Lepisosteus oculatus: one gene and its partner. The protein of the gene in region 2 interacts with the protein of the main gene of each other region in a pairwise test. Links are inferred from orthologs where the notes say so. Each region holds a gene or a part of one and is shown on either strand. Other genes may lie near its edges.

Evidence for each region.
Region 1: the proteins of trim37 (region 2) and protein FAM124B interact in a two-hybrid assay, tested with the Homo sapiens proteins (2 studies listed by BioGRID and IntAct). The link is inferred for Lepisosteus oculatus from reciprocal best matches to the Homo sapiens genes TRIM37 and FAM124B.

The regions. Positions count from the first base shown.
Region 1 is NC_090708.1:6,845,279-6,853,172, reverse strand, and holds the start of protein FAM124B, read right to left. Parts: upstream 3,088-7,894; 5' UTR 2,647-3,087; coding exon 2,585-2,646; coding exon of another isoform or gene 2,581-2,584; intron 1-2,580. Other genes in the region: cul3b (cullin-3b), read right to left, coding at 5,801-5,932, 6,163-6,308, 6,829-7,015, 7,309-7,443, 7,608-7,704.
Region 2 is NC_090721.1:715,580-722,912, forward strand, and holds the start of trim37 (E3 ubiquitin-protein ligase TRIM37), read right to left. Parts: upstream 3,107-7,333; 5' UTR 2,803-3,106; intron 1,390-2,802; 5' UTR 1,325-1,389; coding exon 1,250-1,324; intron 1-1,249. Other genes in the region: high affinity immunoglobulin gamma Fc receptor I-like, read right to left, coding at 5,596-5,780, 6,117-6,404, 6,506-6,772, 7,148-7,333. UniProt on the Homo sapiens protein: E3 ubiquitin-protein ligase required to prevent centriole reduplication. Probably acts by ubiquitinating positive regulators of centriole reduplication.

The DNA of each region.
Region 1 (7,894 bases), on a different chromosome or scaffold from region 2:
TTTTACTTTCTAACTCTTGTTTCAAGATCTCGTTTCTCTGCTGGGACAGAGGTCCTAGGGTTGGCCCTATCTGTACCCCTTAGGATTCCGTATACTGTGCTTGGACCACAATTCCTCTCCTTCTCCTCTGTTCTAAACACAAGTGGTATATCTCCTTTAACATCTAAGCTGTCTCCTGAGTCATTCTTCTCCAAGCTCTTTCTTTTTGTGATATGGTGGCCAAAGTCGAATATTATTCCAAATGAGATCCTTCTAAGGCACTGCCAATCTTGAGCAAGTCCCTCGACTTTAATTCCACACTTTTAGCTAGAAAGCCAAGCATTATGTTTTTTTTTTTTAATGCTTCCCTACATTGTCTTGATGAGCACTTGGAAGATTGTACATAAATATCCACATCCCTTTCATGTGTAGCATCCTGTAGCTGAGGACCTTCCTTTTGAGGTGTACAGTGTATGTTCCTACTTCCTGAGTGGTTCATTTTGCACTAGAAGTTAAATTAGATTTGCCAACCATCCAAACTTCCCATACTTTTGGGCCTTTGGACTTGGACCGTGCTGTTTCAGAGGTGAATTCATTTTGATCCTTTCAAACTAGATTTTTAAAATACAGTATAACCATCTGTCTTCTATTGACTCTGAATGGAGTTGTTTTCAGCCCACTGCTTGCAAGCTCTGCTTCATTCCAGTGTAGTCTGCTTTTCTGAATTTATAAGTTTTGGAAATTTAAACTACACTTCAAAAGATATCCAATTACAGTTATGATTTTCCACTGGATCTATCACATCTATTCCATTAACTATATCCTGCTTGTTTGAAAGGCTGCAAGACCACTTTCCCTTGTTTGAGCTTTTTCCAAAGTGGGTTAAGAAGCAACCATTAATCATTTGAACATACTACTCTCAGCTTTTGCATTCTTCATCACAATATTCCATTGTACGTGTAGAAAATTTAATTCTCTCAGTAATATAACATCACCTTTGTTACGTACATTACTGATTTCATAGAACAGTAAGATACTTGTGCCCATGTCAGCATTAGTTTATAGAAGACACTTGTTTACTGTTACACTCTTTGAACTTCTGTTTTGTAGCTCAATCCATGGCGAGTCAAAACTACCTTTACCCTCTTGCTTATGTTTTCTAGTTTGCGGTTTATTTTTAATGTAAAGTCTGACTGCCACCACTGCTTCTTTCCTACCCATCTTTTCTGATACAAATACATAACCAACAGTATTTCTTTTACATTCATCCACCTGCTTTACCCTAACCTTACTTAAGTTAGTCCTGTCAGTTTGATTTCCTGTTAGTACAGCAACCAGCCTTGAGTTCTTACACTGTATACCCCCAGTTCCTCAAAAGGGTAAGTATAAGCATTTACGTGTAAGTGCTGGTTTTAGATCAATCTTTGTGTTGCTCAGTACGTTCCTGGACCCACCAGAATAAGGTTGGTTTATTGAGAACCATGTTACCAGTTCCGTTAACTTTAAACTCAAATTAAACTTTACATTTTAAATATCAACTAAACACAGAGCTCTACAACTGTCTTCTTCAAACAATAAGTCAATTACTGCTTTGCCTTTGGGTGGGGTATTTTCTCAGTTCACAACTGTGTCGTCCAAGTCTACAGCAACCAAACCAGTCTTGTAATAAAAGCACTTCCTAACCATAAAGCAATCCTCCCCCGTTCGTATTTTTCTGCCTGTGCCTGACTGAATCAAGAGCTGTGGATTTTTAAGCCCCGTTATCGTAACTAAAGGTTTAAGTTTTTTTCTTTTAAAGTAACCTAAAAATGTCAAGGAAGAAAACGCGGATTGTTTCAACGCCTCAATCTTGCAGGGGTGCTGAATAGCTCAGGTTACCAGGACAACTCTTGTTTACACTCCCCTGCTCAGTGGAGTTTATGGCACGAAAACGGTGGTGTGAATGTTTAAACACGCCGCAAGTTTTATTATATAAGGTGAAGTGGAAAATATCTAAACTTTTTATTTCAAGTGTATGTAAGAAAATAAATGCATTTTTTTTTCTTCTTCAGATGCATAAGTCATTGAATGTCAAGCACCAGGACCAGTCCGACAGAAACCCACGCAACGATAAAAAAAAATACTAAAGACGTGATCCACACATATCCCTCTACATTGAAATACGATTTGATTTAGGATATATGTAAGCGCGATAAAAACCTACGTAAAACGAAAGAAAAAACCCACACCTGTTTGTTAAATAAACGAAGATGTTTTAAAAAAACGCAGACTGTTTTATTCAGTCAAGTCCAAATTCGCGACAGCGCAGTGTAAACAGTTCAGAAGTATAATTTTAATTAGACTATTTGTGAAGTAATCTTGTTTAAAAGTACGACATAATCCTGCCGCAAAATACACAAACTGGGCTAACGTGAACTGCTTTTTGTTTTAATGTGCTTGTAACTAGGCAGCCTCAAGGGCGACACAGTACACTGTTGCTTTCCGTTTAAAGGACAACACCATCTTTCAAGGCAGAGCAACGCACGACAGATCCGCTTAGAGACGAAGAAACAAACCAAGCTTACGTTCAAGTCACAACAGAAACTTGTTACCAAAATTCACCTACTCGGCGGTCTCTGCCCCGGAATCGGCATATTCATCTTCGCCTCGGTTGCCTTTCCGTAGCATTGTCTACAACGTCCTCCCCGCACCAAGCCTTGCAGAAAAATAATGCGCTAAAAACACATTGCCGTCTCATGGAATGAGACGCCACTCCGCTCTTCTTCAGGACGGACCTGGACCCAGGGCCCTGACGTCATGCATCCCCCGCTTCCATTTACTGCTTTCCCCGATTTCCGTCACATGAGAGCTGCTGGCAGCTCCAGCCCGCACGTTTTCGCTGGGCGGCCGACGAAGAGCCTTTCGGCTGCACAGAAACTGAAGCGCACAACCGCTTCAGATCGCAGAGTACTCCTCCTACGGTGCATGCATCTGCCTTCCTTATCGTGCGCCAGATGGCACTCATCTCGGACGGCAGGACAAAGAGTAGCCCGAGACGGGGTTCAATAGGTTTCCGAGAGCAGCAGCGAACTTGTATTGTGCTCGGCTGATCCGCGTAGGACACCGTCTGTATGTTCACATGACCCTCTATTATTGACAGCGTGGAAAGGGCCACTCACTTTTAAATCGGGGAAAATGAAACCCTTAATGCGAGGTGCTTACTGTGAAAAATTAGATGATACATGCCTTTATGCCAGGAGGCACTGCTAGATGGGCTGAAACGACTGTTCAGAAATAATCAGGGCAAGTCCTAGCCGAAGAAGGAATTCAATTTGAGTTGGATAAACGAGTTATATTGAAAAGACCTCCCTTTCACGAAAAGTACTGCCTGAACTCGGTCTTTTCATTAACAATTAAAAGTCTTGTTTACGCATAACAGAGTGGTGGTTTTTGGCGAGACTCATTTGAGCAATTTAGTTACTTCAAAGTTTTTATTTCCTTTCACTATAAAGGAGAAGGAAATGGTTTGAGAGCAGGGTAGCGTGAGAGGGAGAACAAAACATGCATCGAGAAATGCAAATAATCTGATTGTATACAAAATATTGTTCTTGTGAAATGATGGCAACAAACCTGTTCCTAAAAACTACTTTTATATAGTTTCATAATCTCATGTATGGGTTATCTTAATTATATAACTTAATAATTGTATCACTCAGATTAAAAGTTGTACCAAATTCAATTTGGTAAGTTTTGAAAGAAATCATCATAATCAAATAATCAGAATGTAGTAAACATTGTATACAGAAGTTTTCAAAAATGAGACCTGAAATTTAGCAGATATCTACAAAGACCAGTACAAAAAATTGATTTCCAGTGTAACTTTCTTTTCGCAGTTTATCATAAATATTTTGAATGATAAAGACAACTGAAGTAGAAATTACAAAATAAGAAAAACTACGTAAGGATAAAGTTGCAAGCTATAATTAATAAACTTCAAAATCAGTTGAATGTTTCTCATGGACAGTATATGGGGCGATTGATATGTGATGAATTCATACACAACATTAAAGGTCAGTCTGAGCAACTGATGTAGAAAAGACATATCTAGATAAACTTTCTTACAGTATTTCTGCAGTAGTATTGGGTGTTCTAGAGATGCATATATTTACAATATGTTGAATATTACAGTTCATTATAATATTTAACTTGAGAAAGGCTTGCTGTGGAAAATATAACCATTGTTTAGAGGGACAATTCAGGAAGTTCATTAAATCTAAAAGAGACCGTTTAACAGTCAAGAAATGAGTAGTCGATCTGCAGTTCTGCACTGCTTGGTTACACTGCAAATGTGAAGAAAAAATAGACTACTCTTGTTCTGAAATATGAGTTACGTCTATTTAGAGTTGCCCATCCTTTTTGCAAAACTCCCCCCATTTAGGAATAATGTGTTTTTCTTGGTTCACAGCTACAAGCACCATGGCCACACACCAGGGAAGAGGAAGGAGGCTACAGATCACAAGCAACACACAACACCGCCCCTTACAGGAAGCTTAGCGCCAAATGGAGAAGAGGTGTGTGCCTGGTGGAATTCACCACATGCCTGTAAGTGCCCAGAAGGCCAGAAGGGTTCCTGCGTCATTTAAAACAGAGCCCTGGCCACCTAATCCCATCCTACCCTCAGCAGTGCTCAGGCAATTGTGCGCCACATCTTGGGGAGTCCTCAGCAGCTGACTAGTGACATCACCCCAACGTGAACCCAAGATCATTTTGGCCTTTAGTCAACAGAGCCACTGGGGCCCCAGTAAGTTTTCATGTTAGATCCAAAGTGGTCTGTAGATAACTATAGTAACTGCGCTAAAAACTGCATTCAACACTAGTTTCAGAACTCCTTTTCTTTATTATGGTAAAATAATTTAAAATTAAAAACATATTGAATTATACTGAAATAACAGCACTGTTTTTGATTGCTGTGCTTGTTAAATATAAGAGTTTTAAAGAAAGAACAGTAAATCCACTTTTTTTTAATTTCCTTTTTCTACATTTAATACGATGAAAACAAGGCCCTGTACAATCCACTTCGGCAGTGAGTACAATAACAATTATTTTACAATTTATACACATTAAAACAGTTTTAATTTGGTTCCTTTTAAAATGTCAGAAAAACCTAACCCATTGAGAATTGCATTTGGAAGAACCTAATATCAAAAGGAACAAGCAATATTGTGCTGAAATTTCACAAGAGGCCCCACCAAAAACTCAGAGCTAGTGTAAGAGATACTCAGATTCATAAAATATAGCATGCTACAAAGCAATTCCCTTGTTCTTTGCAAATCAGCAATAAAAGTATTGTTATATATATTCATCATTTGGAGTAAAACCCTTGAAGCAGAATTTCATCCTGTTTGACATCAAACCTGTACAACCAGCGAGTTGCTACGAAACACTAAGAAAACACATTTACATTGACATTAAAAACTGGGGAGAAAAAAAATCAACAATTATTTTATTTGTGTTAATAGCAATCCACGTTTGCTAGTTTTTATTATTTTCTTATTTTTTACAGTATTGAAAACAAAATGCGGTGCATTCACATTTTTCCCAAGGAATTCTTTAATGTCGATCTCTACAAGGGTAAAACGGTGAAAAGCCTGAAGCTGGATCCATTCATGTTGAAAATTCTCACAGGGAATAAAGGCCTGATTTAAACAATCTAGAACACTTACTGGATTTTTTTTATTTTTTAAATGGAGGAGAAGTCATCGTCCCAGTATTTATAGTTAAAAGGAACTTCCCAGTTCATGCGAATAACATAGTCCAAAAATGGTGTCTCATCAAATGCACTTTATGCTACATAAGTATATACTTTACGATCCTCGGGTGTTCGCGCCAAATATTCTCTCTCAATAAGTCCTTCAATTCGTTTTTTAATGACAACTGGACTTGGTAAGAAACGCGCTCTCAGCTGCTGAGTCACCTGTGGGAATAAAAAAAATGAAATGGCTTAACTTTAATAATCAGTTTCCGATCATCAAAATTAATAAAATCATAGCATTTCATACAACTACTGATTAGAAAATTAGGAATAAAATTAATGATTTTATGTTCCGGTTGTTCTATAACATAATGCATTTATTGCCTTCTGCATGCAGTCTTGAAGTGGACCAGTTACAACTAAAACATAAGCCTTACTCTTCTTTAACCCACCTCTGCTACTAGCACATTGTGCTGCATCTTCTTTCTGGATTTCATGATGCGTACAATGGCAGCTTCAATCTCATGCTTTCTGTCGTCGTCTACCTTCTGCCGCGTTTCCTTTCTTTCAGGATCCGATTCTCCTTGTTTGGCTGCAACTGGATGAATTGAAGAAGAACAGAAAGACAATAACCGATCCCGGTCAGAAACGAAACAAAGTAGAAACAGGACAAGGGAACGCAGATGCCCGTCTCATTACTTTGACACGTTTTTGTAATGGCCTGGACCCACATGGATACACGTTGAGAAGAGAATAGAGTGTGCTCAGCAGACCACGTGTGAGCCTTCAGAGCTGGCAACCGGGAAAAACTCCCACCAGGATCTACATACATTCTGATGATTTCAATACATGTCCTCAATTACTGATGAGCTTGAACAATTTACCTGTTATAGTACAATCCCATTTATTTTTTTTAGGCAGTAGCAAGGCGGGTGAAATGTAGAAGGAGGAAACCTGCATGTTCAAATCCGGCTAGTACGTAACATTTTCATCCCACAATTATTGAAAAAAAAACACTTATAACATGGAGTACGTTTGGAGTACAGTTCACACGTTTTGTATGCCGAACAAATCTATTAAAACAACCTCCTAAAAGCTATTTAAGATTGTTTACATACCTGTTTGGATCTTTACTCTGTGCAATTTGGAAGTAAACTGATCATTGACTGTAAACACATGCCCGTTCTCAATTTCCTTCGACTTGGGCTCTTTAGTAAGGACCCGCTGTGTTGGCTTTCCACATGCCAGCGACTGAAGAGCTCTGACAAGTTCTCTCTCAGGGATATCCGTCTCCTGCTGAATTTCCTGATGTCACAAACACCAACAAAGACATTTAGCACACAGAAAATAAGCCCTAAGTGGATGGAAACAGGGTGTAAGCAGTGGCGCCATTTTAGATTTTAAACACTTGCTTCAGCTCATTACCAGCATTTCAAGTTAATCAAGATAAAATAACTGTAAAAATGTCTTCCTGTCCTCTGGTTCCATGACCTCTGGATTTGCATTTGAAATGTAGTGTTCTAGTAATTGACAAGGAATTATGAACCAATGAATTTATGGCAGGTCAAAACAGCCTGCGTGCAAGATGAGAAACTTACCTCAAATGTGTATTTTTCTCTGTTGTTAAAGAGCATTAAAATTGTCATCTGAAATGTTGAAACCTGTAGTATGTGCTTTCTGGTGTTAGATCCTGTCACTTGAGCTCCTCCTACTCCGACCTCTGAACCATCCTCCTGAAATAAAAAGAATGTATTAAATATACACTTTACACAACTATAGAGCAGAGATATAAACATCTGTTATAAAGACCTGGGTTTTCAACATGTTTTATGCTCAGAACATACACTTTAGAAAAAGAATAGTCTAGATATTACAAATTATAGAAATATAATTATACCTTTTTAATCGGGCCATAAAAAGTAGCATTTAAATCAGCAGAGCCCATATGATGCTGGAGTGTAAGCTGTCGACCACTGTGTTTCGCCAAGTAAAACCTGGTTTAATTAAAAAGAAAGATAATTTTCAGTTATTATTTAACTAACAATTATAGCATTATAGTGTGGGACTGATTACACAACATAATAGCTGAGCAAAGAAAAAACTGGCACACAATTAGCACTTTAAGATCTCATGAAGAATCATTATGGTCTTCAACATACCACAGAAATAACACATATCTGTCTT
Region 2 (7,333 bases):
TATGCTGCTGAATGACTATGCTTTTTCTTCTTTTCCACACTTCCAGGAGGGCTCCACCAGACAGGCAGCACCTAGGAGGACAGATCGAGCTCCATGCTCCGCTCTGCCACTAGTCTCTGTGTGAGCGCTGACACTGCAGGGTTAGTATTGGTGAGCTGGGCTCTCCCAGCACCAAGGGCCACACCTGCAACCTGCTGGGAGCCTGCAGGCTGGCAGTGATATGGGCTGGAGGCTGACTGTTCCTCTGAGAGGCTCAAACCTCCTGCAAGGGTCTGTGGAGCCAAAGGACAGCTGGCTCAGCTGGTGGGCTCGACGGAGGAGCAAACCCATGCATCTCATTCATTCTCCCGAGGGGGTACAGGAGTCATGGCTGGAGAGTCCCGTCTTAAACACAACACACCATTCCAAATGGGGTGGATATACATTATATGAAATGCTGGGAAATTCCCTCAATCTGATATAGCCACCACCTGGAGTGCAGGCTGGGCTCCACTGTCCCAAGGTTGTTGGCGCACATTTTACACTAACATGAACCCATAGCAAAGTAAAGATAACTGGACAAGAGGTGTTAGGTTACAAATGCACAAACTTGCACATGGTTTTGAGCTTTCTGCCATGGCAATTAACCAGCATTTCCATTAGCTTTAAGAGTTGACAGTCTGAGAAGAGCAGGTCTTCTGTGTGTAGATTTCAGAGAAGCTGTGCATGCTGTCCTGGTGTTCAGACTGGGACTGCAGCAGAGCTCTTCTGATAACAGCAAATCCAACTTTAAAATGAACAACACTATCTAACCAAGGTAAAATACTAACAAAAGGATTCTTATCATCATCTGCAAAAGGGAATGACTGACACTTAAAACAAACCCTGGCGGTACTTGTTAAGACCTTCAAATAACTCATACTAGCACAGCAAATGAAATCAATTCTCATTAAGGTCAGACCCCAATCCAGTTAAAGAGCTGGCTGAGCTCACTGTATTCAGAAGAGTGAAATGCTAGTTTGAAATAAAGCTGTCATGGGAGTGGGCAGGTTTAAAATCACAGAACCACCAGGCTGCATACAGTCAGAAAGGGGAGTGTGGGGAGTCCATCACCTGCTTCTTCAATAACCAAGATATCCACCTAATAAGTCTACTGCAGACATGCCCTGGGGTTTGTACCTGCACCCAAACTCAGTTTAGGTTCAAACTCAGGTTTAAAGAAAATGAGAAACCCTTAAGGTAAAGGCAAGAGCTCTTCATTTTAACTCACAAAGCAGGCAGACCCAGGACTTCCTGCTACACGGACGCCCACGTTCTGACCCACCTCCACACTTTGCTCGTCCATTTCAGACGGTTTTCAACCTGCTTGGTATCCTCAGGTGGAAAACAAAAAGCCGCTCAACCCAACACCTGTGAAAAGAGCATTACTGAATAAGACTTAGAAGTCTGCCTTTAACAAACGTTAAGACAAAATAGGCTCTTTAAACTTTCCAAGCACTGGCATGCTATCCAAGCCACCATCCAAACCTCATATTGCAAAGGATTTTAAATTAGAATGAACACAAGCTATTTGATCCTTTAAACCACATTCTGAGTGTACAGTATATCTAGAAGAGTAAATACGTGACGGAAAACATTTTCAAGCTTAGTGCACTTACAAGATACACAGTGTCAGAGAGAAACGGTGAAAATGGCATCGCCTTCTGCACTTCTTTAGGGCCTTACCATAATACCTCTAGAGATTAATACCTCTGGGATACTGACAGTATACCAACCTGTTCACATTATATAATTTATTTCTTGTCTCTAAATTACTTAGTCTCTTTTCAAAATGGTATAGTCCTTCCATGTGACTGCTTAAAAAGGCAGAGATTCTCCAGCTCCTCGATTCGCCCCTATTTTTATTTATGAGGGTTGCTTGTTGGCTCTGAGGGTTGTAATCACTCGAAAGCGCTATGGCTACAAACTGTGGTCAGAGCCCTCCGAAAGCCCAGACGTCCATTCTTCTGGGAAATGGGCAGGAGCTCAAACACCTGCCGCCAGATTTCTGGGGGTCTGCAGGGTTTCAGACGAGATTTAGCACGTAAAGCGCATTCGGACTCAGGCACAAGGCTATTTGTAACGACAATGCGGGCAGGTCTCAGGCACCACTGAGACTGCAACCTGCCAGCTCTGCGTTAGATCACACTCATCCCTCCACAAAAATGTATTTTACCCACGGCAGCCTGAAAACGTGGCTTCAAAACACGAAGCGTGCGGATGCCTTTCGCCATTTTGGGGATTCTAATTGTGGGGGGTAAATCGGGAAATATCTAACCTGAGCGGCTTGTGTTTGGCAAACCATGAAACAGGCTTAGCAATCCTTCTCCACGCCTATGCAGAGACCCAAAATGAAGAAGACAGGGCCGTCTGCGAGCGGCCCTGAACGCTGCAGGTATGGAGTCTCGCAGGGGGTCTGTCCTGAGGTGCATCCCAGGCAGCTCCCAGACACAGCGCTCCTCCGAAACCTGCTGCGTCTGGCTTTAGCTATCCAGCAAATTACAGCCCGCCTGCCCTTCAGGGGAGACCTGCTCTCTGCAAGTTGTGCCTAACTCGTTGCTACTGAAGAAAGGACCCAAAACAAACTTCATTGAGATGTTAAACGAAGCGCAGCCCCCTCCCCTCCCGGGGGTGCCGAGAGGCTGGGCACTCGCTGGAGGACTGGCGGTGGGTTGGACGCGGGCAGGGGTGTTGGAAAACCCGGACCCCCACACTGCCCAGGACGCTGGCCGGGTCCAGAGGCGGGCTGGGCAGCATGCAGGGAGCCGGGAGAGCGGTACTTACGTCGCCGGGGCTCGGAGGTGCCCAGCCGGGCGGTCAGCCGCGGCTCTGCAGAGGTGAGGGCGGAGCGCTGAGCACCCACCCCGCCGCCTGTCTCTCACACACACACACACAACGGGCTGGTGGGAAAATAACAACGCCTAAGCGCTCGTTTTGCCGTTATTTCCTATCTTTTAAACGTTAGCTCCTGCACCCCACCTCCATTCTCCTTCCCCCTCGCCAGTCACAGCTACTGGTCACCATTGGAGACCGTTTCGCCCCCCCCACCTCTCTCTCGCGAGGCCGCCGGAAGCCGCTGAAATCCTCGCTCGCCAATGGCAGAGAGAAGAGGGGGCGGGATCTCGCGTCGCAGAAGGGCCGCGTCGCTTTTCCCCTCCCCCTGAACTCGGGGGACACGCCCCCTGGTCTGGTGGGCGTGAAGGGGGTGTGGCTTTCGTGACACATCTCCGCTGCGATTGGTCAGGTGCCGAGAGGCTTTCAGAGTGGAGCGCAAGCCAGTCACCGACGCCTTGGTACTTTTTCCATCTGTATCCAATCACAGCGGCTTCCGCTGAAGCCACACCCCCGCGGCCTGCCCAGACAGTAATGAGGAGGCTCTCCTCAGGAATTGGGGTAGGGAAAAGAAAGACGTCAGACAGCCAAAGGGATTAGAGGCGCTTCCGTTAGCAGGAGAGGCGGGTTCGAAGCGTCCTCAAATCTTGCGCGTCACCCCAGCTGCACAGGTGGGGGTCCTGGGGTCTCCGTGTGAGCGCGCTTCATTGCATAACCACAGACAGTGCGGAGAGAGATAAACAACATGAACGGTGCTCGCATGCGAACGTCGGTTCACCTTAAATCCCTTTAGATCGGCACAACATTGCAAAAATATCAATGTCTTTATCATTTAATCTTACATGCCAACACGTGAAATTGAAGACAAGCTACGTATATTATTATAGCTGCGCCTAACTGAAGGAAGTATGCAGCAAACTGAAACGCAGTTCCATAATGGAAAATTATAGGCACCCTTAATCTTCAATATATTAATAAAATTACTAGGTGTATTCATTAAATACAGCTGAGACATATATGAGTGTCATAATTGCAATAGTTAGCAAAGCTGTCTCACAGGTCTTGGGTCTTGGCTTTGATTTGTGACCTGGTGCGCCTTCCGTGTGGAGTTTGCATGTTCTCCTGGGTTTCCTCCCGGGTACAACAGCAGGCGGATTCTCCCTGTGTGTGTCCTGGGGGTGTCCAGCCTCGAGCCTGGTGCCTGCTGGGCTCAACGTTAAGCGTTCCTTGCGAAGGGGTTGGCGGAGGTGAGATGCTCCAGGCTCGGCTCTGCCGTGACGCCCCCGCGGAGGAGCCTCGCTCTGCAACGCAGGAGGTCTCCCCTGCTCTCCAGGGGGAAGTGACCCACATGCTAAATGCGGGATGCCCGGGGGGGGCGCGCAGCCGGATCATCCTCTCTGGCTGCGGGGAGCCTTGATCAACGAGCCGGTTCTGACGTCTCAGGTGACCGCGGGCTAATTGAAGCGTTTCGTGAGGTGAGCTCCATCGGGACCTCGGCTCTCACTCGCAGGGAGGATCCCTGTAGGCTTTCTTGGGAATGACAACTGGAATCCACCCTCCGTGCTCAACCCAATAATCACTGCTCTGCTCGCAGCTCAGTCTCTGCTCTTGGCCCTGGACTTGTCATTACTGTTTTAAAACCCACGTTTGATCAACAGCCCTCCCGCCAATAAACGCTTCTGTTGGGATACAAAAGTAACAACACCGAAAGCATATATCATATCGTATCATATCAAGCATAAAGCAAATCGGGCGGAGCAGTGGCTCTGTGACTACTCCGTTGGGCCCCGGAGCAAGGCCCTTAACCCTAACTGCTCCAGGGGCGCCGTACAATGGCAGACCCTGCGCTCTGACCCCAAGCTTCTCTCCCTGTCTGTGTCTCCTTGGAGAAAAGCTGGGGTATGTGAAAAGACGAATTCCTAATGCAAGAAATTGTATAGGGCTAATAAAGAAACATTATTATTATTATTACATTATTATTAACAACATATATAGTTCCCAGGGATTCATTTTGGCTCATCTTCTGATCCGGAAAACTCAATTTTCCCTCCTCTTTAGGTCAGATTTCCCTTCAGTTAGGCACAGGATATCCCCATGAACACATGGGCATGTGTTTTGGCTTCATCTAAAATATCCTCACAGTCACTATGCCTCTGAGCAAAGCCAGCAGCAGGCCTTCTATTAAACAGAGCCGGGACACGTAAACCAGCAGAGCAACAGAGAGAGCAGAAGGCCAGTGGCCTGTGCATCAGAGACACACGGAGTTCAGAGTTTCCGACACCCATCTCCAGCCCCTGACTGGCACCAGCAGAGCCAGGCTCATCCTCAGGGCTACACCACACAGTACCAAGAGCTGGACAGTTGAAGAGAAATCCAAAACAAACATTAGATTAGAATCAAAGCAAGATTTTCGTTTATTGTTGTTAATGCTGTAATTCAATTTCTTTTCCTGGTTTGCCAAACACAGAGGAATGCAGAAAGGTATTTCTATTATTTTCTAATATGCGGAAATAATAATCAAAGTCTCTGACTTACTTTAAAAGGACAGACTGGCTGGTTAACAGATCTTTCCAGGTCCACTGCCTCTAGGCCTCTATGCATTGATGTTGGTTAATTGCTTCCAATTATCTTGCAAAAAAGTATGAATCACTGAAGTTGTCTGATGTACTATGTCAGTGATTGCATATTATCACTGTGCTGGTGCTGAACTCCCTCTGCAGAGTCCCTGCTGAAATAAGGGAATCTTTACAGAGTTGTATTTCCTGGGGTCATGGCCTCCCATGCTGAGGACTCTGTGAGGTTCCAGAAGCTGGACGGCGAGGTCTCTGGCGACGGGCTCTGGCTGCTGCCGGGAGAGTTCTGGGCCTGTGTGGGGTCCGTGGGATGCTCTGGTCTGCTGGGCCCTGTGGACTCCAGCTCGGCCTCCTCGTCTGTGAATGAAGCACAGGTGAGCAGGAGGAGGCCGAGCGTGTCAGGCAGACCAGTACATTTTAATTTCTCATTCTCTCTGGAAATGAATTCATATTCCTGTGGGGCCACGCCTGGTGATTCGGCACCCAATCAGGCTGAGAAGTGACCTTACTGGGCCAGACTGCAGAACCCCAGCCCGGCCTCCAGGGTTAACACTCCTACTCTTCTGAAAAGGGCCGGGGGATAGTCAGGGCCCAGGCCTAGCTTCTCAACCGAGTGGGGGCACAGTGTCCTCGGACAGCACACTGGAGCGCCACCTCCTGGTCCACTGGTGCCGAGCTGCCCTGGGGACTCACCCTCGATCACCCGCACCAGCACCGGCTCGCTGCTCTTCCCCAGGCCCAGCCCGTCCACCGTCGCCCGGCACCAGTAGCGCCCCGAGTGGCGGGCGGCGGCGCTCCGCACCACGTGGCGGTCCTGGGACGAGGCCACGCCCAGCCGCTGGCCGCCCCTCAGGAAGCTGTAGCGCAGCCTCAGGCCCGGCCTGCGGGGGGTCAGCTGGGCCCGGCAGCGCAGCACCAGGTCCTGCCCCCGCCGGACAGGGGTCTCCGTCAGCACCTCCATCACCGGCTCGCTCAGCAGGTCTGGTCAGCAGACGGACAGGGTCAGAGAGGGCAGCTGGGGCGGCATGAGAATGAGCCGCTGCTCTTTTCTGGAGAGCATCTGAGATCGGCCACGCGCTCACCTCTGACGGACACGCCGACCTCGGGGGACTCCGCAGTCTTCCAGCCCCACCTCTTCCCCCAGGTGGCCCGGCACCCGTAGAGCCCCTCGTCCCGGGGCGAGAGGCTGGCCAGGTGCAGCTGGGGGCCGCTCTGCCTCGCCAGCACCCGGCCGTCCTTGTGGAAGACCACCTGCTGCAGCCTGGGGTTGCCGCGGACACGGCAGGTCAGGGTGGCTCCGGCGCCGCGGAGCAGCGGCTGTGGAGGAGTCTGCAGGATCACCCAGCCGCCTGCGGGCAGGAGGCACAAGCTCAGGGCAGGCCTGACCGCTGGGCCAGCCCCACCAGCCACCACCCTGCAGCCCTGAGACGCCAACCCCCTCTCAGCGCTTCCCAGTTCTCTAATTCATCAGCTACTGCGCCACCAGCGAGCTCCTGTGGCAGGTCTGACGCCACTGTCCTCACTCATCCCGCAATCGCGCTGTGTCACGGGGTCACCCGCGCTGGGCCTGCAGCACCACACAGCGCACGCGGCACGAGACCGGGAGACAGTGCTCACAGCTGGGAGTCTGGGGAACAGGAGCCAGCCTCCTGGCAGGAAGTACAGCTGCCAGGATGGGTACCGAGGAGAGGAAAGGGAGGAATCGTGGCCCTGCTGGTTCTTACCGGTCACGCGGATGCTGATGGGCTCGCTCGGCAGGCTGCGCTGCGGCCAGGCCCGTGCCCGCAGGCCCTGGCAGGAGTACTGCCCACCGTGGTGAGGCAGGGCGGGCCTCAGTGTGTACCTCCCCTCCCCCACGGTGCCGAGCTGCTGCACTGGCGCCCCGTCTTTGTACCACACGAACGTCCAGC